Linked DNA regions of Coturnix japonica. The protein of the gene in region 1 interacts with the protein of each later gene in a biochemical or structural test. Links are inferred from orthologs where the notes say so. Each region holds a gene or a part of one and is shown in the gene's direction. Other genes may lie near its edges. The genes, in order: CDK9 and CCNT2.

Region 1 (4,438 bases):
AGCTGGGGGCCTTCCCCATTTCCCCCGCATTCCACCACAATGGAAAATCCCAGCTTGGCCGGGGCCGTGGGAGATGGGTTTTGCTCAGCTCCCGGGGGAGCTCAGGGGTCGGCCTCCCTCCGGCGCCGGCATCAGCATGATGGAGGCAGAGGAATGCGGGGAGCAGCAGTGAAGGCAATGTCCTGCTCAGTGCAGCGCTGGCGGCGTGCAGCCCCATGGAGCCTCCTCCGAGGGCTTTGGGGAAAACCCGAGGGCTGTGAGAAAGAGCTCAGCTCCCTCCTGGTGGGCAGCAGCACTTCCTCTGTGCTCAGCTCCCACCGCTTCGGTCCCGAGCGCGGCTCCATCAGTGCAGATTTATCCCCAGCATCCACCCCATCCCTCTGCTGCAGGAGCACACAGAGGGCTCCTGGACACCACCAGCCCCAGCCATGCAGAGGGGTAAATGCTCCCTGAAAGCTGTGATTTGGGGGATCAGAGCAATGGTTCACCCCTGTCACATGCTGGCAACCAGTGCAAGCAGACTGCTCCCAGTCCAACCCCAGCACCAGAGCCATCAGCACCAGGGTTTGCTCCAGCTGTGGGGATGGAAGCCCCCAGAGCCCCCAGTTTCCTAACAAAACTGAAGACTTCTTGCTAATGAGAGGTGACCACGCTCACACTCACACACCCCCTTCCCACCCACGCCAGCCCAGGTGAGCACCCAGCACCCACCCCCTCCATCCCGATACGACTTACTGAATTTCTTGAAGCCCCCTCGTTTCTGGCCCTCAGCCATGGCTGTGCTGGGTGGAGGCTGCAGGGACAAGTTTATAAACTTGAAGCCTGTCCCTGCCTGCTCCTCCCTTCCTGTCCCCCCTCCGCCTCTCGCTTTGCTCTCTCAATCACTCAGCGCTTCCTCCTCGCTGCTGCCATCTGCTCTTATGGCAGCTGCTGTCCCCGCTATCCCCTGCGGTCCCATCCCTTATTGTCCCTGTGCTCCCATCCCTTATTGTCCCTTCAGTCCCATCCCCTGTTGTCCCTGCACTCCCATCCCTTGTGATCCCTGCACTCCCATCCCATATTGTCCCTGCAGTCCCATCCCTTGCTGTCCCTGTGCTCCCATCCCTTGTGATCCTTGCAGTCCCATCCCTTGTTGTCCCTACAGTCCCCTCCTGGCTGCTCAGGTGCCATTAATGGGATTAATGTGCTTTAGGGCCGCCCTTGAATGGCTGGGTGCCGGCATGGGGCAGGCTGGCAGCTCCATGGCTGGAGGTCCCCATATGGGGCTCAGCTCCATGGTGGAGCCCCAAGGCCCCACTGCACCATGTGCTGGTGGAGCTGTGTTGTCTGTGGGGTCATTTCTATGGGGGATGCAGTGGCCCAGAGCTGGTGGGCAGCCCCAGGGCCTTGTCCTATGGAGTGTCCCTGTATGGCCACGGCCCTTCCTATGTGGGTGACACTGTGAGGGAGGGAACGCGGGCACACAGCTATAGACAGCCATAAAGCCGCAGGGTGATACGGGTTTATCCGGGGTGACAACATGGCGGCCTAAGGTGGACTACAAATCCCAGCAGGCAGCGCGCCGGCGCGCCGGAAATAGCGTAAGGCGAGAGGGCGGAAGTGAAGCCGTCGGCCGGCATGGCCAAGCAGTACGACATGGTGGAGTGCCCGTTCTGCGATGAGGTGTCCAAGTACGAGAAGCTCGCCAAGATCGGGCAGGGCACGTTCGGGTGAGCGCTGCGGGCCTCGGCTCTGCTCCCAGCCCGGGCATGGCTCCTATGGGGCCGATTATCTGCTGTTATTCAGCGTCATGGGGAACAGGCCGCGGCCTGACCCGGGGCCTTTGTGCTGTGGGGGCTGCGGGCCTCGGCCTCCTCCTTATGGGGCTCATGGGGCCTTGTTGTTGTTACATGGGTCTCTCCGTGTTGTTATATGGGTCCTTGTTGTTGTTACGTGGGTCCTTGTTGTTACGTGGGTCTCTCCGTGTTGTTATATGGGTCCTTGTTGTTACATGGGTCTCTTCTTGTTGTTACAGGGAGGTGTTCAAAGCCAAACACCGGCAGACGGGGAAAAAGGTGGCGCTGAAGAAGGTGCTGATGGAGAACGAGAAGGAGGGGGTAGGTGTGAGCTGTGCTGTGCTATGGAGGGGATGGGGTGGGGGGTGGGCTATGGAACATCAGTGTGTATTAACTTTAATGGTGTTTACTGCTGTAACGTGCCAGGTCTTGAGTAACAGCACACAGCACATGGGGGTGGGGTGGTTGTGCTGTGGGTCAATTGGGGCTTTGCCATGTGCTGTGCTCATAGATGGGAAAGGAGGGCAGGTGTCCATGTCACACAAACACCTCCACCTTGTGGCAGAATCCTAAGGGTGGCCAATGAGTTTTGTCGCCCCTGTAATGTTTTGTAGTTTCAATTACTCTTAAATGAGCTGTTGCAGTGCTACTCAAGCAGGTGTCCTGTGCTGCAGCAGTCCAATCTCTCCTGTTCTATAAGCAGATGTGAGCTGCACTCCTAACCTGTGTCTTCTCCTTTCCAGTTCCCCATCACAGCTCTGCGAGAGATTAAAATCCTCCAGCTGCTGAAGCATGAGAATGTGGTGAACCTCATAGAAATCTGTAGGACCAAAGGTAGCTGCCGGGGTCTCATTTGTGCTGTGCTGAGGGGGTGTCTGTTTTCAGCCTTTGTTCTTGGCTCAGCAGGCTGCTGTGTTGCACTGGGGGTGGATCCTCCAGCTGAGCATGTGTTTAATCTGGGGTGACCACACGCTCATCTGTGGAAACTCATTTTGAATGAGTGCTACTGTGCTGCAGCTTGGCTGGAAAAAGCTGTTGTCAGTGCTGCTGGCACATGCCTGTGCTGTCTCAGTGACTGCTGTCTGTGTGCTGGCTGAATGGCTTTAAATGAACCTGCAGCAGGAGAGAATGTGAAACAGAACGTTTTCTGCCTGGTGGTGGTTTTGCAGCTTTATGATGCTGATGCCATTGGGAGCAGGAGCCGTGTTTCTGCAGCTCGTGGAGCTTTGTGCTGGTGACAGCTCCAGCTGGAGACTTGCTCAGCCTCTCCTGTGCATGACAGAACCCCCCAGGCTTTGAGGGCTGGATTGGAAGTGCTGCCACTTCACAGTGAGCAATTCAGTTGCTCTGTGCTGAGCTGCTGTTCCATCTCATCGCTGCAGGCAGTCCCTGGGGGAGGCAGCACGTCTCTGCTGTGTGACTGATGTGCTTAATGCACCTGGCCAGGCTCAGTTTCCAGGGAAATCATTTTAAAGCATTTCCTCATTTTTATATATCCTTCTCTTATATGGATTTGTACTGCAAAAGAGGTTTGGAAAGCGACAGATGATATTAAAGCCTGCCATGCTGTAGTCAGTTCTTTTTGGTTAAATACAATTGATAATAGCACCTTTCTGCTGCTGTTTTTTACACTCAACTGGTAGGAATCTCAGGCCTAGGTCTGGGAACTTGGTGTTGCTCCATAGAATGTAGGTAACTGTCGGTTTTTGAACCAGTAGGTAGGAGGAAAAACACTGAGTTAATGTTTAATTCTTGGATTGATTAAACCAGCTGTGATGACTGCATGCTGCTGGCACGTCTCAGGTCAATATTTTTGTAGCTGTGTCAGATTGTTTGGGTCTTGTTTAAATTCTACTTTTCTACCTTGACCTCAGATTCAAGTGAAAAACAGAAACATTTCATTGACTGTTCTCAGACTTTAAGCTTTTCTCTTTTTATGTTGGAAGAGGGGTTGTGAGGACGGCACCACTGTCATGTGCAATCTAGAAAGCATCCTCCAGGCTGCATTTACTGTGCAGGCTGAGCTTAGCCCACATTTTCTGGTTCTTGCTGCTGATCAGCAGGTTTTGCTGTGCACAGCTGATCAAAATCAGCCTTTTGTTTTGGTGTTTTGCACGTGTGCTCTAGGAGCAAGATTGAAATTGATTGCTTCATTTGAGGTTTCCTGTCATTGACCATAAATTGCAATTGAAGTTGGGGTTTTAAATCATATTGATCTGCATCAGTCTGTTCTCATAGACACCATTTGAGGTTGCAGTAAACTTCACTTTCTGATGTTGCTTTAGAAATATTTGCTGTATTCCTGTGAGTCTGTCTTTGCCTGTTCCTCCTCTAATGCTGATGCAATGATTGTGCTCGGCTGTCAGCTGTGTGTGTGCACCCACGGGCTGCAGTTTGTAGGCACAAAACCCCACAGCTGTTAATACACGCAGCACAACACACAAATGAAGCTTTCAAAGACTTTTTTGCTCTTGCTTTGCCTTTCTCATGATGTTCACTACCACTCTGATCCTCATCCACTGTTGCTTGTTTTGCTGTTTTAATACCTCTTTTTGAAGGCTCTTGAGGCATCTGGAGTCCCTGTTTTGATGTTCCTCTGCCGTGAGGTTTCACCTAGTGAGTGAGGATGGATGGAGGTCAGGAGGAACTAAATCCCTTGCTGA
Region 2 (2,837 bases), on another chromosome or scaffold:
CTGTGAAACTCTGGGTATCTTCATCTAATCATCTCAATCAAAGACTGTATAATGAGCTGTATTTTTTTTAACTGTAGTTAAGATTTTAATTGTCCATATTACACTGATTTATTTTTTAGTACTTAAGTGCAGAAGAATGAATGGTGACTTTATTTACTATTAACCGGACTTTTTATAGGAACAGCAAATTAAATTTTGTCAGATAAATGCCTTGCCCTTAGTTTTACTAAGGCATTAAGGCATCTTAAGAATTTAAACAGAAAATTGTTCCATGAACTGCTGTTTAACTGCTGTTGTTTGACAGATGATCTTAAGCTGTATGTTAATGGCTGATTTGTTTGGTTTTCCTGTTTTACATGTTTGGTTTCCTTTGGTTCCTCATTACAAAATTTGTGTGCAACAGTCTTCACCTTACTACGTTCTGTCTTCAATACAAGCCTACAGTGATAGCTTGTGTGTGCATTCACTTGGCCTGCAAGTGGTCCAACTGGGAGATTCCAGTATCAACTGATGGAAAACACTGGTGGGAATATGTAGATCCTTCAGTTACTCTGGAATTGCTAGATGGTAAGTAATGCTGCCTTTTCACATCCTGAGATTCAAATGCTTATTAATGTGGCTGTAAAAATAGTAGCATGGTATTGTAAGAGCATAGCTTTAATCCCAAAACAAGTCTCACTGATCTCACATACTGAATCCTCATATAAGACAAAGGTATAAGAAAGGGAAGAACTGAGGAGGACAGTTTTGGAAACCATCTTTTTTAAACTTGTGGGATGGGATTTCCATGTACCTTCTGTAGGTGCACATCAGAGTTTTGCTTTTAAATGATTTCCAGAACAAGGAAACCGGGCAGAGAAACATGTATGCAAATCCATCTCTTCTGATAGTTATTTCTGGTTTCACTGTCACTGAGACAACTGTTCTCAGGTCATAATATAACACTGCCAAATTAATAAGGGTAATTCTATGTTAACAATTTGGTTTCAACTCTCAAACTACTGCAGAAATGGTGTTCTCTTGTTGAATGTGCTATCCTGATAGTTTGTGGATTAGCAAGTTCCAAAGACAGGAACTGTATCTACTACAGTGGAGTCTGAATTTAAGGCCTGTTATAGAGGTGGTAGTTTCTTGGGTTCTCAAATATTTTGGGCTTTGCTGATAGTTCTAGATGGAAGAACTTGTTTCAGAGGAGTGGTACAAGTGTGCAGGCATTATATGGCCCACCATAGCTTTCCATTAAAATTAAATTAAATTTCAATTAAAAGTAATTATTTTATGCGAGCTGACATGTATGGAGATCTGTGTTTCCTTGTGGCCACACAACTTGCAAAGGGTTTTTTTCCTTCTAAACACAGCCAGCTACTTTGCCTTGAACACAAATCAAAAACTGTTGTTTAAAATAGTGCTTCAAAGGGTCAGATGGCTGATATTTTGCTCAGAGCTATTACTGGTTGTTCCTTAAGTTCAGTGCAATAACTGAAACCATGACTTAAATTTCCTTTAAAGTCTAAACTTCTTAACTTCACACAATAAATACTTAAGCTGAATGACAGGTGTGTTATTTTAGGAGCTTTTGTTTGTACAGTTTCCTCTAGAAAATTTTTCATCTAATAAATGCAGATTCCGCAAGAGTATGAACAACATTGGAAATGTGGACCTGCTTTGCAGAGCATGTTTGGTGGTTAGAGGTCTGTCATAGTGAAACACTGTACCCTTTTTTTGTTCAGCACTTGTCAAACAAGATTTTGATTAAATAATTCAGATTGTGTGTAGCCTGCACTAACAACTGCTAAAGCCTAGAAAAATTATAGAAGTTGAACCTGCTTATTACAGACATAGCTGTAAAACATCTTTTTTGTTTCTCTACTCAGAACTAACTCACGAGTTTCTTCAAATACTGGAGAAAACACCTAGCAGGCTGAAGAGAATTAGAAATTGGAGGGTAAGAAATTTTCCTATATCAGTGCAGCAAAAAGAAGTTCCCAGAAGAACTATGAGCTGCTTTTTATTCCCCATGCACAGCTGGGGGATAAAACTTTGAATCAGCTTTTATCCTCACCTGTAAGCTAATTTAGTTGTTTGGTTTTTTTTTTCACTAGCATTCTAAGATTTGTATTTTCTCACATCTTCTTCAGGCTAACCAAGCTGCTAAGAAACCTAAAGGTGATGGACAGGTATCTGAGAACTCACTTCTTGGCTCATCTTTGGTCCAGAATTCCATTTTGGTGGATACAGTTACTGGTGTAGCTGCAAACACAAGTTTCCAAAAACCATCAACGTCATTTCCTGCACCGGTACCTCTGACCTCAGGAAGTATTTCTGTTCCAGACAGTCATGCACCTGAAAATTTGGCAATACTAGCAACAGGAATGCCAAGTACCTCATACAATTTGGCATCGCACCAGGAATGGCCTCAGCATCAAGAACAAACAAGGACGGAACAAATATATTCTCAAAAACAGGAGGCGTTACCTCCTAATCAGTATAATATGAACTTCCAACAAGGAACATCTGTGCAGTTACACTCTGGAGTGCATCACAGACCTGACAAACTTGCTGAACATTCTACTGTCAAACAAGAATATTCTCATAAGTCAGGAAACAAACACCACGGACAAGTTGCTGCTCCTATAATAATTCCTCAAAAAATGTCTTTGGATAAATATAGAGAGAAACGCAAACTAGAAACCCTTGAACTAGATGTAAGAGAACACTATGTAGCAACTCCAGGTGAACAGACACATAAAAAGCACGTGCAGGCACAGCCAGCCAGCAGCACTTCCGTTACATCTCCTATTAAAATGAAAATTCCTATTGCAAATGCAGAGAAGCCT

What was found.
Region 2: the proteins of CDK9 (region 1) and CCNT2 form a complex in vitro, tested with the Homo sapiens proteins (4 studies listed by BioGRID, with this or other methods). The link is inferred for Coturnix japonica from reciprocal best matches to the Homo sapiens genes CDK9 and CCNT2.

What each region holds. Positions count from the first base shown.
Region 1 is NC_029532.1:3,652,247-3,656,684, reverse strand, and holds the start of CDK9 (cyclin-dependent kinase 9), read left to right. Parts: upstream 1-1,574; 5' UTR 1,575-1,617; coding exon 1,618-1,709; intron 1,710-2,014; coding exon 2,015-2,096; intron 2,097-2,518; coding exon 2,519-2,609; intron 2,610-4,438. Other genes in the region: SH2D3C (SH2 domain-containing protein 3C), read right to left, coding at 736-775. UniProt on the Homo sapiens protein: Protein kinase involved in the regulation of transcription.
Region 2 is NC_029522.1:27,675,725-27,678,561, forward strand, and holds part of CCNT2 (cyclin-T2), read left to right. Parts: intron 1-403; coding exon 404-567; intron 568-1,874; coding exon 1,875-1,945; intron 1,946-2,138; coding exon 2,139-2,837. UniProt on the Homo sapiens protein: Regulatory subunit of the cyclin-dependent kinase pair (CDK9/cyclin T) complex, also called positive transcription elongation factor B (P-TEFB), which is proposed to facilitate the transition from abortive to production elongation by phosphorylating the CTD (carboxy-terminal domain) of the large subunit of RNA polymerase II (RNAP II).